Drosophila melanogaster: one gene and its partners. The protein of the gene in region 2 purifies or fractionates together with the protein of the main gene of each other region. This does not show direct contact. Each region holds a gene or a part of one and is shown on either strand. Other genes may lie near its edges.

Region 1 (5,404 bases), on a different chromosome or scaffold from region 2:
CTGGCTAAATAAGGGTTACAACAACTATGTCGGCTAAGATTGCGTGCGACGGAAACAACTCGCTGCCGAAGCTGAAAAACTGCACCTAATCGATGTCATATATATACAAAGTATTACACTCATTTGGGCCGCACATATATCAAGGGATCCCAAAAATTTATAATCGGAGTATTGAACTTTCGAATGCCGAATTTCCAACTGGTTTTAACCAGCGGCTCAAAAGGGACCGTGACGAAGTTGTACCGTGGAGTAAGTAAGGTGTAAAAAATATAAAGGCTTTTTCGTATATTTTCAGTACGAAACCGATTTTTTGGAGAAACTAGCGATTAGACCAGAACGCGTCGCGCGGTCAAAACAAACTGAAACCGAAAACGAAGCCGAGCGCGAATCTCAGTCCCGTTACAACGAAGCTTTCCATTAAGCTAAGCTTACAAGACGGAGTTCGGAAATTGAACGCGACGAAAGCTCGCCTGGCATTTGTGCCATTTACCAAGCAATTTGGTTTGGTAACCAATTCGGCGGCTAGAAAACAAAACAAATTCCCCAAAATCGTATTCATTGAGCGGGAGAACAATTGAGGGTCTGCTGACAAACCGGTTTGTTGTATTTTATTGTATTAACCTCATCATTGCCCGCTACTAGATCTTCCCACTAAATCAGCTTCGAATCGGTCTGGCATTCATAAAAAAAAACACATTAATTTCTTTCTGAATTCTTATTTGTATACCCAGCATTCCGGTTTGAGTTCAAGAATATACCCACAAAGCCGTATTCTATATAATGTACGATGCAAATACGAGCAGGAAAAGGTAAATTCTCGCCATAGTTAAATGACAGTTGCATAAACCGGACAACACACATGAATATAACGTCAGGCGGCTTTGATCTCGCCTCTATAAATACAGTAAGGCTACTTAAGTTCACTTAGGCTCGAGTAAATAAATCTACAATTGTGATGTTGCACACCAGAGAACACTACAACGATAGTAATGCAATTTAATGATAGTGTCGAATTTTTAATTTTAAATACAAAATCATCACCTCCCGATTTAGTAATCTCTATTTTAAGTGCTCCAGTTAATTGCCCTTAAAGTTTTTTTGACGCGTACTCACATATTTGTTGTATTAAGCGATTTATTTGAAAAAAGACGGTGCTAATATAAGTTAAATGGGCATATACGTAACGAGGGTGCCAGTTCACCGATCCAATGATACCCTGTAAGTGCTATATAAGCCAAAAATGATTTAAATATTTGTATATTCAACTTACTATTCACTTTCATTCATTTAAGAACGACATGTGGTACAATATACCTTTCAGTTTCAGTTTGGTATTTACCTGTGGAATTTGCTTATTTGCTCACGGGCGTGAAAATATAATTACTTGGGTAGTTGTAAAAACAAGCGCATTTTTCGCTCAGTGGCAATGAACTTCTAACGTAATCTGTATGATAAGCTTAATTGCAAGAAGCTGAGGTCGAAACGAGTCCAGATTTTGATAAGCGTGTCTGCATCGATTAGTACCACAATAAGCCCTGTGAAATTTTTGATTTGGCCGCGTGACGTAGACGTCGGGGCAAATTGAACTTTAATTCGAGCTGAATTTCGCATTCCAATTGGAGATAGTGAAGTGTGTTTTCCAAACGAGTTTCGTTTACACAGGCACTTCCTTTTCCACTCAATTTCCGAGCTTAGCATCTTTTCGAAGGTCATGGGATGCTGACAACGGGAAAAATGCCTGTGTAACAATTTGAATTTAACGTTTTGTTCGCGCTCATACACGTGATCATTGTTGTCGGCGGTGATTTATGTTTTAAACGCATACATAGACCGTTTGCCTACTATTTCGGTTTTAATTATTGTTCGTCAGTTTCAGCGCACAATTAACGGAAATGTAAAATTTAAATAACTTATAACGATTATATAAGCAATGCCACGCAGTGGGTCAGTAATGTATTTTTAAGCTTTCCGATTCCCGCGCGTTTTTAATGATCTTTTAAACTAATCACTCTTACATTGCGGGTACTTGCCGACTTATATTTCGGCGCAAACGGGCTTCTGCCATTTTGGTAAATCCTTGTGGTTAGTCAATTTTATCCAATGTATCCATTCGTGGGTCTTGAGTTCCAAAGGCTTACTAAAATTTTCAGCCAATAATTCTCTACTAAGCAGCCAAAAAATTGATGTGGTCCCTATGAGTTGTTGTTTTACAAATTAGCAAGCGAATGCTAATTTATTGGATAAGCACAAACGCCCATGCAATCGATTGGTGTGGGGCGAAGTTCTTTGATAAGCTGGCAGTGCTTGGTACAGATTTCACTGAATTTTCATATATTATTATATTAAAATCCAACTTGCCTATAAAACGTATTTAATTAAAATGTTGTTAATTGTTTGCGGCTTAAAAAACCGTTACCAGTGCTGCCACGCTGCAGTTTTTATATATTTAAGCTGAACGCGTGTTGCCATATCAAGTTATAAAAACTTGTGATATCGATATTAAATGGAGGAAAAGACCGTCGCTAATGTTCCGATTGTTACCTCGTTTTCGTAAGTTTTTGGTTACAATCCGAAATTAATTGAAATATCTGGGCTTAACTGAATGTTTTGAAGCAGGAAAACTATCTATAATGACTGGAGTTACCCCACCAAAACGCTCTCCCCTTTGGATCGGCACACACAGCGGCACTTTTCACTGCGACGAGTTGGTCGCATGTTTTATGCTCAAGCAATTGGATGAGTACAAAAACGCAGAGATTTTCCGCAGTCGGGACAACAAGGCTTTGAAGGAGAAGTGCGATATAATTGTCGACGTGGGCGGCGTTTATGATCATGCCAAGAAATTGTACGATCACCACCAAATAACCTTCAAGGAGACTTTTAGTTCCGTTCGCCCAGATGTAAGCGAGGACTACAACGTTGTCAGGTGAATTCGTGGTGTTAGCGTAAATGAACCCGTATAATCCAATGTAATCCCCTCCAGGCTAAGCAGTGCTGGACTGGTCTACTGTCACTATGGCGAGCGTGTTATACAGAGCATCCTGCAGCGCGAAAAGGGAATTAAACTCTCACCGGAAAACCTGCAAACGGCCTTTATTCAGATCTATAGGAATTTTATCAACGAACTGGACGCAATTGATAATGGAGTGCCCATGTTCGAGGGCGTTGAGCCTATATACAAAATCTCCACTCATCTATCTGCCCGCATTGCCAAACTGAATCCGTCCTGGCAGGAAACTGGCGTAGACATCGAAGACCGATTCAGACAGGCGATGGATACTGCAGGTCGTGAGTTTGTGGACAACGTTGTGGAGGTATCATGTTCCTGGATTCCAGCCCGGGATCACGTACGAGAGGCTCTTAAAAATGCCAAGAACGTCCATCCCACCGGCGAGATTCTTGTGTTGAAGAATTTCTGCCCCTGGAAGTCTCATCTGTTCGATCTTGAAAAGGAGTACAAGGTGGAGGGTGTGCCCAAGCTGGTCGTCTTCAACAGCGGCAATAGTTGGCGAGTGGCCGGAGTTCCAGTGACGCCTGGCAGCTATCTGGGCCGCAAATTTCTGCCCACTCCTTGGCGCGGACTGATGGACGATGAACTATGCGATAAGGCGAGCATCAAAGATCTCGAATTCATCCATCACACAGGATTTATTGGCGGGGCAAAAACCGAGGAGGCTGCCATGTTGTTGGCCAAGAAATCCACCGAGTGGACAGAAGAGCAATAATATAATACGACTTAAAGTTATGCTTTTGAAATTGAAAAACAATAATTAGATCGCATTTAATTCTGGTGTTATTACGCATTTAATTCTGGTGTTATTACGTTATACGGAAAAGAAATACGCACATGTTGTACCTAAACAAATTTTATTTGTATGTGTATTTCGGTTAATGTATACAAAATCACCAAGGGAACCTCTAACATCATCTAGTCCATGCGGGTCTTCAGTGTGCGCTCCGTGATCTTGTCCTTCTCGATAATGTAGACGGTGGCACCCCAACCGCTCATGGCGTCGCGATCGAATGCGTTCACAATGGACTGGGCGATGACCTCAAACAGCTGGTCCGGCTCGAGATCGGGTTTCCACAGGGTTTCGCACATGCCATACAATTGCTCCGCACAGGTGCCGGCCACAACGAAGTCATCGGGTGCGTTGGGGCAGCCGATCAGGTCCATGTTGCAGATAAAAGGCTCCATGGTCTTGGGATCCAGGCCAGCAACGACCGGCTCAATGAAGTACGGGCCAAAGCGGTGCTCGTACAGAAAGCTGGACATCATGGCCGAGAAGGGCTTGGGACACATTTCACGGTTTTCGCGTGTCTCGTACAGATTCTTGCGGAACATCAGGCGATCGCGAACAGTAAGGATGTCCGTCTGCAGGCCTGTGAGCCCGAGGAACATCCGTGGGCCGATGTGGAACACCTTCTTGAAGTCCGTGGAGATCGTCTGAGCCTGAATGCCGAATCGGTGATCCGTGGCAATCGCCACGCAGTCCTTTCCGCGCATGGCCACTACACATCCTCCGTTGTAGGCTAGAATCGACATGGTGTCGTTGCTATTCGCTTAGCTCAATTTAATCAGCAGAAAAATGGAAATTTTGCAAAATGCTAAAAGCCGCCTGGGAAGATGACTTTTTGTTTCTGCTCTGCGTTGCCAGACTGCGAGTGTAAGATGGGCTAATACTGACTGGCTGTATAGAACTGGCAACGCCTACTAAAGAGATTTCAAAAAGAATCGCGTTTTTTAAGTATTTTTTAAGTATTAGTATTTTTAAACACAAGTTAAAGTTATAAAATGTTTAAAAATGCAAAAATATCTCCGCGAATGTTAAAACGCATTTTTCTTATCATTTGGATCCTTTTGAAGTAATAAAAGATCCAAATGTTAATATGCCAGTATTAGCTTTCAGTGTGACCAGGCCGCGTCAATCAGTTGGGATTTATTCTCCTCTGCGGCAAAGGCCACTTTGTAAGGGGCCCTTATTTATAGAAAAATTAAATTCTATCCCTTAAACTCCCAATTGTTCCGACTGAACCCAATGACCGGGTAAAGCTAGGCGCGTGTACCTTGTCCTCCTCTTGTCACATCAACGTCTACAGCCGCAAGCAGCCTACATCATCGGAAGGCGACAGTCTTGCACAATCGTCAGTGGAGCCGTTGCCCAGGAAATAAAGAACCTACCGCAGGATGGCAGAGGCAATGGTTGTGGAGGACCGCCCCGCGGAAGCCAAGCGATTCTTCTGCCACATGTGCAACGTGGAGATCAACATTCCCAACTCAGACTTCACCTGTCCGCTGTGCGCCAACGGTTTCGTGGAGGAGCTGCCGGCAAATGCGCCGGAGATGGATTCTTCGACGGCTGGAGCATCCGGCAGTGCCAGATCCGGAAGCAGCGGTAGTGGC
Region 2 (6,268 bases):
GGGAGCGTAACGAACTGCTAGCCGAATCGGATGTCTCCTGTCCCGAGGATGTGTTCATCCAGCAAGCGCTGGTGATGCTTCAGGAGCGTGTTGAGAAGTTGGGTGTCGAGAAACCTGATCCGAAAGAGGATGAAGAGGAGACAGCACCTGTACTTTGCCTAGAAACCGAGACCAAGATTGATATTGAGAAGTCAGACGATGCCTCCATCTCGTCGGGAGAAGCATCCAGCAGCCTTAGCTACTCGAGCAACCATAATAAATACTATTATTTCTACCAGTCAAACGACGGACAGAATATTTACTTGCATCCCTTGAACGTGAAGATGCTTCAGGCTTGCTACGGCACCTTGGACTTGGGTCCGCTACTCATCGAAGCCCAAATCGTGCAGATGGAACAGCACTCTATGGATGAGGAGCATCGACGCAAGTTCACTTGTCTTGGCCACTTGCCTTTGACTTGTCAGTTTTCGGTTGTGGAAGTCGAATTGCAGCCGCCAGTGGTCACTGGAGGAATACTCAAGCTCTTTAAGGGTAAGTCCACTAGGTCCATGTACAGCATTATGCTTATATGTATTCCTTCCGCAGAGGACATTCTTCATCGTAAGAAGGAACGACAGCGTCGGGATCGCGAGGAGCGCAAGCGAGAGCAGCACATCAACGAGATAAATGACCGCCAGATGGGCAAACTTATTGCCAGTGCAGCTAACCTTGACCTAAGCTCCTCCCATGAGTTTCCCACTGTGAGCTAGCAATGCCTGCCATTAGTGTCAATTATTAATATGTGATATTTTATCTAAAGTGCGGCTTCGAGGAGGCTTTGCCCGCTCCCAGTGGCTCTGTGCCCATGAACATCAGCAACCAGGACCCCGGTTCCCGATACTCCAGTGTCACTCTGGGAAGTCCCAAGCAGGAGATGTGGCCCACTATTGGAAGTAATTCTCCTGGAGGTGGTGGCGCGCCATTGGATGTTCAAGTGGGCGCCTGGGGCCGTTCAGCTCCACCGCCGCCACGGGCTGTAATGGTCCCAAGAACCAGCGATGAGGACTTTGAGCAGCGATCTGTGGGCCACTGGGGTCTGGGAGAACTTTTAGTTGGAGCCTTGGACCAGAAAAAGCAAAAGGTAGGAGCAGCAAAATCCAATGGAGCAGCTCCAGCGGAATCGAAGAAGCAAAAGAAGGCCAAGGGCAAGAAGATGGTTCCCCTGTTCGCCACGGGCATGAACAGAGCTCCATGAAGAGCTAGATGATGATCGCTTATGAAGTTACAAGATTTATTGTATTTTTGTTTTTATGCGAATATTTCAACGTTATTTTAAATAACAAATGCGATTGTTCTATCATTGAAGAGGATTTGGAAAATCATTCAGCTAATCTATAATTTAACCCAACTTATATTCACAATACACATAAGATAACCAATAAAGGCAGCAAGTAAAATATCAAATAAACGCCTTTTTACTTTCTTGCCAAAAGAAATATTCATAATTTAACTGAAATTTATCGGAATGTATTTTAAGCGCATACTTTTTCTGGTAGCTCTTTTAAATATGTATAAAAGTGCCTACTGCGCTGTTCCATTAAACTTCAAACATATTTATTTATGTTTTAATTGATAGGAAGAGGCCAAATTCGTCTTTAGTCGCTGCGTCGCTCGTCTACGACATCCTTATGCTCTGGTTGCTCCGAGTAATTGAGGTTTGCTGAGGCATTCACCTTATCAGGGCGCTTTTGTTTTCGACTAAGGGATACGCAACTACCAGACCCGTAGTCTGGTGGCAGCTCCATGTACTCATCCTCAGAGTCTAAGTCGTCTGTTGCGTCTGGATCGTCACCGTTTACGGAGCCATTCGGACTGCCTGGTGGGCTGAGTGCCTGAATGATTCGGCCCTTGGACTCGTTCCAGAAGGTGTTAAGCCGCTCCCGGCCGAACAGGAGCAGGAAGGCATCGATGAACTCGCGCGACTTCTCCTCCCACTTGGTGATGATGTCAACCTTGACTTTGGTCAGCTCCCGCTTGCCTCGTGTCTTCAGCTCGTCCATCTTGTTCTGCAGACGGAATTTCTTCTCGGAGAGAAAGGAGACGTTGAGCTCCTTGGCTGAGTAGCCTCTGGCCAGGTTCCTGCGCACATATACATCGTAGTCCTTCACGATTCGGGCCACAATGTCCGACGTGGACACGCCCTCAGTGCGTTCCGTGGCCACAAACATTCCCTTCGCTTTGAGTGGAGCATATATGTCGTTGACTCCGCCAGCTCCATAGGGTATGTCATCGTGGGCCACAAAGTCGATTTTGTGCTCCTCGATAAACTCCTCATTTAGCGTCCACGGAGCATTCGGAACGATCTTGTGATGGATCGAAAAGTGTATAGAAACATTTCATTGGTTCAGTTTAACACACTTACCTCATCCACGTAGCGGCAGTGGCGCACCGCCTCGTAGCGCTCGAATCCATTCATAACCGTGCGTCCCTTCATCCTGAGGGTCAGCTCATCATTGCACACGCCGACGATGAGATAGACGTTGGGAAACACATTCTTGGCCTGCATGAGTTGGCGGGCATGGCCTTGGTGGAACAGATCATATATGCCATCTGCATAGACCCGCACCCTGCGCGTCGTCTTCCCAGCTCTGGCCATATGATAGGTGATCCTCTGTGTGTAGTCGCATCTCTCGAGCTCCAGCATGGCCTTGTCATCGTACGAGAAAGGAGCAGGCTGGCAAATGCTCTGGAGGCGTTTTGGGGTAGAGAGATTAGTATGTGGCAACTCCTGTTCCTCTAAGGAGTAGCCTTACAAAATCCTCAAAGTCCATAAAGAGCGGTAGCATCTTAAACTCCATCGGCGATGTCGGTGTGGCAGGAGCCGTCGACACTGGAGATTCGTCGTCCTCTTTCGGCATTCTGTCCATTGCTTATAAAAATATATGTACGAGTATACACAACTAAGTACAGCACTAGTGGTCCGCTCAAGGGGATTTCATCCGGACGACTGATTACATAAATTGAGACGGAACCGGCATAACCCTCTAGGTCTACTCTGTCGAGGATTGAGTCCGAGACTTTGAGCGAGAGATGTCCCCAACTGCGCACTAGCTGCGATCAGAATAAATTGGCGGCAACTGGTGGCGAATCAATACAATTGAGTCCAGCGGCTGGCGAGGCACACGACTTGGAGGCGGCTCTAGCAGTCTCAGGCCCAAGTCTCTGGCTCGGATTCATCGCTCATCTTCAATTGCCGCAAATTGCGGCGCAAGCAAATAGGAAGCAACGGGTCGGTCGCCTGACTTGGCACGGGTCCGCCGATTCGATCAGGCGATGGGTGCGCATCTATATATAAACCGCAGCGCCATTAAACAAATCAGTGAACCGCTTCAAGCCGGTGAATGGGCAGCTAATTGCGAGGGAATGGGTGTCCAATCAAGGCAAACGGTTTCATCATCATCGGTGGCGCGCGCTCAAGAATTCCAGCAGTGCCATGGATGGCTGCTGAATCGGATGCGCAATTGCTGGATAAACGTATGAGATAGCAAACTGATTCACAAGCCACTCGCTTTACTTCTATTTCCTTTCGATTCAATGTTTATTTTTCAAAAAATATTTAACAAAGCATTTGCAATAGTTCCGCTATTGCCAACTGTTACTAATTACTTGTTTTTGTTTTTTGCATTTTCCGAATGTATTTCGTAATTTGTTTGTTTGGATTTCTCTATATTGGTTGGTGTTCTGGTTGCGGTGTTGTTAACTTAGTTTAATGTTATGCGAAATAATTTAATATAAATATTTCTAGATATTTTCGGCACCTGAATCTGCCGCCACTGCCGATTGATTTCGTGCACAGTCCGTCGAGTGCCTAATACAAAAATGAGTCTTTTCCGCGTTGGTGGTTGCTTGTCCCACACACACACACACACAGCTAAATTAGCTACAGGATTCCCTCGATTCTCACAGATGGAGATGGGCAGGTGGAGTTGAGGCAGGAGGAGAACGAGTGCCAACTAAAACATTGGGATTACAATACCACTTAGGGCTAGAGTAAATATAAGTGTGTGTTCGTGGAGCCTGCGTGGCGATCCTGGGGCATCTATAGTGTGCCGTCGAACTAGTTGCAAGCAAGTCCATTTACAATAGCATTAAAGACATTAAGAGAAGAAGAAAAGATCGGGCTGCCCCGCAATAGAATCAATTGCTTCGACGCTCGTACTCCGCATCCGCATCCGCATCCTCGTCCCCATCCGCTTCCAAGTCGGGTGATTGGCTCTGCAGACTCTGGTAACTGCGGCGGGCCAGCGAGGAGCGCTTCTGCTTCGGCCTCTGTTTGCCGTTCAGCGATCCACTGCTGCCGCTGCCGCTGCCCCCGCTCAACTTCTCGGCCATCTCCAAGTACTCGTCAATAGTTTCGCTGTAGTCCTCGCCGCCCTCCGTGTCATCACCGTTCACTGATCCCGACGGGCTGCCCGGCGGACTGAGTGCCTGCAGCAGCTTGCCCTTCGACTCGTTCCACAAATGATTCAGGTTCTCACGTCCGAACAGCAGCAGGAAGGTGTCGATGAATTCGCGCGACTTCTCCTCCCACTTGGTGATGATGTCCACCTTCACCTTGCTCAGCTCGCGCTTGCCGCGCGACTTCAGCTCGTCCATCTTGTTCTGCAGCCGGAACTTCTTCTCGGACAGGAACGACACATTGAGTTCCTTGGCCGAATAGCCTCTGGCCAGATTACGACGCACATACAGATCGTAATCCTTGACGATCCGGGCTACGATGTCCGAGGTGGACACACCCTCAGTGCGCTCCGTGGCCACAAACATGCCGCGCGCCTTGAGAGGAGCATAGATGTCGTCCATGCCATCGGTTACATACGGAATGTCGTCGTGGGCCACAAAGTCGATTTTGTTGTCGGCGATGAATTCATCGGACAGAGTCCATGGCGCATTCTGGACGATCTGCAAGACAGAGTAAGATGCTATAGACTGAAAGATCTCTAATCAGTGCCGGGCAGAACATACCTCGTCCACATAGCGGCAGTGACGCACTCCCTCGTATCGCTCGAAGCCGTTCATCACGGTGCGTCCCTTCATGCGGTGGGTGAGCTCGTCGTTGCACACGCCCACAATTAAGTACACGTTGGGAAAGATGTTCTTGGCCTGCATTAGTTGGCGGGCGTGGCCCTGGTGGAAAAGATCGTAGATGCCATCGGCGTAGACCCTCACCCTGCGGGTCGTCTGTCCGGAGCGGGCCATCTGGTAGGTGATCCTTTGAGTGTAGTCACATCTATCCCGCTCCAGCATGGCCTCCTCGTCGTGAGAGTAGGGCGCCGGCTTGCAAATTGTCTGCAGGAAGAAAAGTTCCCGATTAGTTGGGCTATTCAACTGGACGATTGTGTCCTTGGTCTACACATTCTTTCTCGATCTTATCACACATCGTCGGAAATATACGACTCACGACTCGAACATCAATTTCAAACGATTTCAGCTACTACGATTTAGACTAACTTTGCATCCTAACTCTTGACTACTTACCGCAAAATCGGAGGCCCCGCTGAAGAATTGCTGCGAGGTGGATGCGGGCACCACCCGGTGATTCGGCGACGCCTGCTGCTGCGGGACGTACTTCCGCTTGACGCCGTTGAGGTAATCCGACTGTGGGGGCAGCAGGTCCTCGGCGGCTGCCGCTTCGCCGCCATCGTCGGCGTCGCTTTGTGAGATGGTGCGTGTGCTGTCCCGCAGTGTGGTGGCCGAGGTGGTGGGCTCGCTGGCTCCCTCGCCGACCACCAAGACACTCTCCAGCTGGCCGGGCCTGCTCTTGGACTTGCCGGGGCTGTTTGTGCGCTGATCCTGAACTTCCGATACCTTTGTGGCGCTGCTGGAGGCGGTGGACGAGGGCATGGCAATGGCTATCTCGTAGGTCCGCTTCCGGGTGGTCAGTGTGGAGCCGGGGGACGCGCTGCTGCTGGGCGTGGCCGGTGGCGATGTGCTATTAATTGTGCTTTTGGCGAGTATCGATGAGGTGGCCATCGCAGCGAATGTTTGGGAGCGGCAGTTTTAACGGCTTCGCGACGCGGTGACGGAGGAACAGAGATTCAATTGACTTTCAGCTGGAAGAGATCGAGAAACAGATTGGTTACCATCAATGCTCTACATTACTTTCCCATATTTTGTGTGTTACGTTTCGTTTACATCACATTTAGTCTTATGAAATTATAAAGTTTTTCTTTGAAACCGCATTTGGTTAGCTTTGCATTCTGTTTATATGTAGTTGCAAGCATCATTTATC
Region 3 (6,434 bases), about 19 Mb from region 2:
GATACACAAATAATGAAGAGCTCTCTTTCGTCTCGTTTCTTTACTTTCGATATTTTGTGGTTGTTGTTGTGGTGTTAGATTTTGTTTGTAATTTGCTATTTGATGTTTGGTTTTGATTTTTATTATGTGTATTTTGTATTTATCTGCTCTCTGGGGAGAGTATGTTAGCGTAAACGTTGCTTTGGCAATGAAACACACATACTGTAGAATTAAGCATGTTGCTTTTGTTGTTGTTGGTTAAAGCTGGAATATAAGAAGAATTAGACTTTGAGCACACATTTTTCCCGCTTGGCATATGTTTTCTTTTCCGAAAGAGATGCATTTATTAGTTAATTTTCTTATTGTTTTAACTTGCTTATTTGTTGCTACACTCACTCAATCACACACACACATCTAGATCACAATTACAAGGGTTCGTTCATTCGCTGTTTCATTCATGCAAAAAGAGAGCAAGCAGAGAGAGAGAGCGACTCAGAAATTGACTTTTTTCAGCCACAGGCAGCGAGTATACACCGCACACACACATTTACTTCTAGAAACACACAAACGACGATGAAAGTCGTTGGATTTTCGTTAATCGTTGATGTAGACAAAATAAAATAGGTAAGAGTTTTCGGCTGTATTCGAATTCAAACCCAACCAATTTATGTTTAATCAAAAAGAACTACACATTTATAGAGCGCAAATCAAGATGAGTAATCAAGGAAAACACCAACACATGCACTCGCACGTACTGTGAACACACAAAACTCGAAGCTGCGACTATTTTTTGGTTTCGAAAAACAACAGTAGCTCAAAATATTTATTAATATTTAATCTATTACTCAGGCTTGAATTTCTTGCGTTGTATTTAGTGTTTTTTGCGCACGAATGACGAGTCAGAAATTTTCGAACCGACTGCGAACGCTGGTCGCCACACACAATGGAAATTTTGCTCGCCTAGCTTTGAATCGGCCATATATATGGTATATAGCCAGTATGTAGTGTAGTTGTACCAGCGGCGAGTGGCGAGAGAGCAGAAGAGGGCGAGTAGCGGCCGAATTCGAATAGCGGCTTTTGCTCTTTTTGCTGAGCAGAGAGTGAGAGAGAGGAGAGAGGGAGAAAACAAGTTTTACCAGCTAACTGCATATGCATTGGTGTGCGTGTGCGTTAGTGGCGTCGGCGTCTGTTTATCTCGCTCTCGCTCGCTCTTTGTGCATCTCTTGGGGATGCAACCATTTTGAGCGAGAGGCAGACAGAGAGAGACCGAGCACATAGATCGATTAAATTAAGGGAAAAATCTCAAACTAAAACGAAACTCGAAGGAAATCCGAAATTCCATAAATTATGCACTATACAACACTACATAGCACACACACGCACGCAAATATGTAGAGTGCGAAACGTGATACATAGACGGGCAGCAGCATTCCTCTCACACACACACGCATCAACCATACACCTACATGGCAGAGCAACCACTTTCGTAGTTTTCCTTTCGCACCGTTTTCTCTGTTTCTGGGCAGTAATGTGTGTGTACACATCAAATTTTCTGATTTTTACTTTCGGCCACTCGAAATAGCCGGAAAAAAATGCCATCGATAACTAAAATCGCACAGTTGTTGCATATTCCTCTTTCTTACACTCTCCTCCTTTTCCACCTCTTTCTTTCAATCACACACACACTACATAGGCACACCGCCGGGGCAGCGACCGCTAGAGCAATTAAAAACCATTAAACATTTCCGCTGCCAATGCTTAAACACGTCTTGAAAATCATTTAATGATTTTGCGCCACAATTATTTGTCAAACAACGGCACTTGGGCATTATTATTTATATTTAATTTGCTGCACCTCTTGCACGCATACACGCATACAGCACACACGCACACCCTCTCACTTCTCGGGCAATCGCTTTTGCATTTGCATTTTTGATCACTTTTCTACGTTTTAATCGCCGTTTTTGATGTTCTTTCCGACTACCGATGTAAACTTGTCTTGAATCTTTACATTTTGTGCCACTTTATCTATCGCATTCGCATACGGAAAAATCTGCGATCGATTTTTATAACAATTCGCAACAAATATGAGGGAAAACTTGCCGTCGGCGGCAGAGCCAGTGTTGCCAGCTAGCACAGACAGAAAACTACTAAAGAGGTGGCACAAAAGCACTAATAAATACCACAGAACACTAAGTCTTCACAATGGGAAGTTCAAAATATACAACAAATTAATACTTCTTAATTTAGAATGGTATATTTTTTAAATTATTTGTTCTATGTCTTCAAAGGTATTACACATCTTATATATAAATAAATAAAGGATCTCTTAAATTTAATTTAATAACGGTTATAGAAACCTTTTAATGAAATGGTTTAAGTGGTGCGAATGCGTAAAGTGATTGGAATGAAGTGTAAAATAAAAGATATTTTTATTCTGTTTGAATCAATTCCGTCAACTGATTGTTTGATCCTTCTTAAAACAAATTTTTTTAAAGGTGAATACAAACTATAATAAATTGTACAATAGAAGAATTTGTAATCTATTAAAATGGAAACAAATAAGTGTTTTGTCACCACTAGCATCCAATTGCATCGCTAACACCAGCCACTTGTGTTCCCATCCCTAAGAGTGACCGTACTCCCCATGGCCAAAAAGTGTGCACCGAAGCGGCGCTGCCGTGCGAAAACCTGTTCCCGCTCAAGACCGCCGTTACACACCCCCTGCGCCGCCTCCTCGGAATTCCATGACACTGCGTGGGGCAATAAAAACAAACAGAACGCTTGGCGGCCACCTGAGAGCGGAGCAGCGACCAACTGTAAAAGTGGGCCGCCCGGGAAGAAGAAGAAGCAGCGTAGGCAGCAGGTGACGCCGACAGCGACGTCGGCAGAGACGCAAGCAGCGACGGACCTCGAAGATTTCACTTTTCGACGAACGATTTAACTGAGCGGAGCTAAGAAACGCGATTTTCATACAAGCAATTGAAAAAAATAGTCGTGTTGTAGGCGAAAATAACTAGAAAATGGCCATGTACCGCGCCAGTGGGTTAAGGATTATGCAACAGATGCGACGCAGGATTCCCGTCGAACTGCAGCCACTCCAAGTGGCCAAAGCTGCGCCTGCGCTGCAAACTTTCACTTCTCAGCGCTGGACTTCGACGACGACGACCAGTGGAAAGCATGCCAGTCCACAGGTTACGACCCCGCCCCCGAGACACGACTGGAATAGGGCGGTCAGCGAGGCGGAGCGCATCGTCGGCTATCCCACATCCTTCCTCAGTCTGCGCTGGCTGCTCAGCGACGAGATCGCCAATGTGGCGCTGCACCTGCGCAAACTGGTGGGCAGCGCCCATCCGCTGATGAAGACGGCCAAGTGAGTGGTGCTGAAGGGCTTATAGGGCGTTGAAATTTATGTGAATCTTCCGCTTCAGGCACCTGCTCTACAATGGCAAGAACACGATGCAAGCCTGGGGATTGATAGTGCTCCTGGTGTCCAAGGCCGCAGGACATGCACCCAGTGTTCCAGACGTGGAGCAGGACAAGAGTGCCGGAGTGCTGCACTCCCAAAGGGCTTTGGCCGAGGTCACCGAGATGATACGGATATCTCATCTGGTGCACAATGTAAGTTTTTGATCAAATGCATTCGAAAGTTACTCGTAAACTGAAAGTGGTTTGTATGCAAATGAGTTTAACTTTCCTCAAATTTAGTTGACGAAACTCAAGAAACGAACATCAATATGTCATTGGTCGAGCTGATGCCTCATAGATTATAAAAATATTTACACTTGGTCCCATTTTAGAGCGTGGTTAATCTGCAATCGAGCACGCAGGCTGGGCAGGATGTGGACACCTACGACGACATGTCGTTTGGCAACAAGATCGGCCTGCTGACCGGCGACTATCTTCTGGGCCATTCCAGTGCGGAGCTGGCTAATCTGCGCAACCAGGAGGTGGTGGAGCTGATCTCGTCGGCGGTGCGAGATTTTTCCGAGTCGGAATTCATTGGAGAGCGTGATGAACAGAACAACCCGCTGCCTTATAAGCCAGGAACCTTCCAGCGACCATCTCTCAGCGTTGGAGTGGATTTCAACGAGCACGACGTGATGACGCCAATGCCGATTGCCCAGGTTCTCGGCAATCCGGAGGAGGAATGGGAGTGCCGTAATATCCTTAATGCGGGTAGCCTGCTGGGCAAATCCTGCCAAGCTTCGCTAAAGCTGGCCGGACAGAGTGAGGAACTGCAGCGACATGCTTACCGCTTTGGCAAACATTTGGCGCTCGCTTGGCAGGCTTGCTTGGATGCCGAACCTTTTCAGTGCCCCCAACTGCCGCTAGATGTTACTTTCAGTCTGGTTAGTGCTCCAGTCCTATTCCACTTGGAGCACGACCCTGGCATGTATTCTCAATTGGAGGCTGGCAAGCAGTCGGTCGATAACATCGACTACGACAAGATCCACAAGGCCATTCTGGCCGGGCCGGCTTTGGCCAAAACCAAGGAACTGCAGCGGAAGCACACAGCCGCTGCCCTGGCCGTTCTGCAACATTTCCCGGCGACGGACGCTCGACAGGCTCTGGAGAACATCATTCTGGCCATGCAGGATCTTTGATCCCGAGCAGCAGTTACTGATTTTTCACGGGTTCAGGGCTTAGGTTAGTTGTATTTATTCCGTTGGGTAATTTTTCAGTAAAGCAGACGTTGTTGACTAATCTTTAATGATTCATTTAAAGTAAAGTTTAAATGCTTTATTTTTCTGAACTTCAAGTAATACTTGGTGCAAGGTCACAAAAATATATTTTGTAAATCGTCTTGTATCGCAAAAGTTCATTTTTATTATAAGGGAAAATATAGTTCGTCATAAAAAAGGTTGTATGTTCATATTTACATAACATAGAATTGGAGGATTTGGAAACATTCGAGACTGTAAGATTTTTTTCGCAGCCTTGAAATACAAGGCAAGAGTCCCAATTTGCAGCCAATAATTTTCCAAAAAAAATATCGTCACAATCAATGTTATTAGTTTAATTCCGGTGATATCTCAACCTAACGTAACAAAGCCATAATTTAACTAAATTATTAAGGTACATCGAGGGGCCATTTGAATCTAAGAAGCGGAACGTCTTTATGTGTGATTTACGCATTTTAACGACTGATGATCTTCATCAGAACCAGTTGCTTGCAGCGATCGTACTCGAAATACTGGGGGAAATCCAGAGGCAGGTGCTCCATGATCCACGGCTTGTTCACCGTCTGCCGGATGAGGTACTCATACATGGGAGCCACCGAATCGCAATCCTCCAGTGTGAACACATAGCGCTTCTCCAGTGCCATGTATATCGTTTTGGGTCTCCCAGTTTGGCGACCTCGATCCAGGAGGTTATCCAAGACGCAGATGAAGGCATCGGTTAGCGTATCACAGTAGATGACATCGGCAGCTAGGATTATATCGCTATTGTCTATGGCCTCCAGCAGATCCTGCGAGTGATCCTCTTTTGAGGCGAGAAAATCAAACTCCAGAACTGATATCGTAGCGCGGAGGAGTTTTGAATTTCTTTGGACATTGCCGCGGATCAGCTTCAGTATGCATCCCAGGTCCACATCCGTGCAATAGATCCTTCCGTTATTGTGTATTCCGGCGGCAATGCTGGTCAGGCCGACACCAGCTCCCAGTTCCATTAGGGTTTTCTGGGAAAACTCATCCTTTTTGGAGAAAAGGTAGTCTGCCAGAAGAAGGGCTCCTCGCCACACCTGCAAGCCCACCAGCCGGAGCTCCGTGGCCTCGGAATGTTCCAATTCGATCACGCCACGTTTCGGCCTTGGCACCTCAAGGTCGCCGTCTTTATCCGTCCTAATCCCCGCCAGCTTCTCCTCCGGATAGACGAAACGGAACTTCGACAACACCTTACCTCCATCGCGGGTCGTCTGGTAGTTGTTCTCTCCGTAGATCTCCGACGTGACCGTGAACATGATCCGGTTATGTATGCGGCCAAGAGCATAGGGTATATGAATTTAATGCTGCGGTCGGTCGAGACATCTTCCCCGGGCGTCGTGGTCGATTACAAAATCGGTATCGCCAATCGGTAGGCGGAAATTGTGTTTGCATTCTGTCTTTGCACAGTGGATGGGGACACATATATTTTAATAATTTGAAATTATTTAAATTTAGTGTTTATTATTTATGCACCGAAGAACTTTTGAAAATGTTTAATATAAACTATAAACTCGTTTCGCTTAATTTAAGGCAAGCATATATAATCACAGTACTTAATCGTATCTCACGGCTAAGTTCTAATAATTTGTGCACATCTTAAGATTAGAACCAGAGCTCTATATACATATATGTATTGAAATTATTTATTATATTTAATATACAACTTAGTCTTCTTAAAAGGGAATCACTTTAAATTACTATGACTTTTTGATGTTTTTCATAGTGAAAATGTATTATTCAATCTCG

What was found. Proteins that work in one complex are often made in the same cells at the same time.
Region 1: the proteins of Pcyt2 (region 2) and CG11980 purify together in Drosophila melanogaster (affinity purification with mass spectrometry, with the first as the bait; one large-scale study listed by BioGRID). This does not show direct contact.
Region 3: the proteins of Pcyt2 (region 2) and Pdss2 purify together in Drosophila melanogaster (affinity purification with mass spectrometry, with the first as the bait; one large-scale study listed by BioGRID). This does not show direct contact.

The regions. Positions count from the first base shown.
Region 1 is NT_033777.3:9,001,526-9,006,929, forward strand, and holds CG11980 (uncharacterized protein), read left to right. Parts: upstream 1-2,491; 5' UTR 2,492-2,525; coding exon 2,526-2,550; intron 2,551-2,570; exon of another isoform or gene 2,571-2,613; coding exon 2,614-2,926; intron 2,927-2,983; coding exon 2,984-3,725; 3' UTR 3,726-3,806; downstream 3,807-5,404. Other genes in the region: CG31100 (uncharacterized protein), read right to left, coding at 2,016-2,065; Prosbeta3 (proteasome beta3 subunit), read right to left, coding at 3,929-4,546; Iru (iruka), read left to right, coding at 5,189-5,404.
Region 2 is NT_037436.4:1,550,535-1,556,802, reverse strand, and holds Pcyt2 (phosphocholine cytidylyltransferase 2), read right to left. Parts: upstream 3,311-6,268; 5' UTR 2,907-3,310; coding exon 2,793-2,906; intron 2,726-2,792; coding exon 2,402-2,725; intron 2,343-2,401; coding exon 1,635-2,342; 3' UTR 1,488-1,634; downstream 1-1,487. Other genes in the region: CG12099 (uncharacterized protein), read left to right, coding at 1-531, 586-740, 800-1,234; Pcyt1 (phosphocholine cytidylyltransferase 1), read right to left, coding at 4,177-4,938, 5,002-5,325, 5,515-6,009.
Region 3 is NT_037436.4:21,025,306-21,031,739, forward strand, and holds Pdss2 (decaprenyl diphosphate synthase subunit 2), read left to right. Parts: upstream 1-2,609; 5' UTR 2,610-3,002; coding exon 3,003-3,352; intron 3,353-3,410; coding exon 3,411-3,600; intron 3,601-3,653; exon of another isoform or gene 3,654-3,779; coding exon 3,780-4,586; 3' UTR 4,587-4,836; downstream 4,837-6,434. Other genes in the region: CG10584 (uncharacterized protein), read right to left, coding at 5,120-5,944.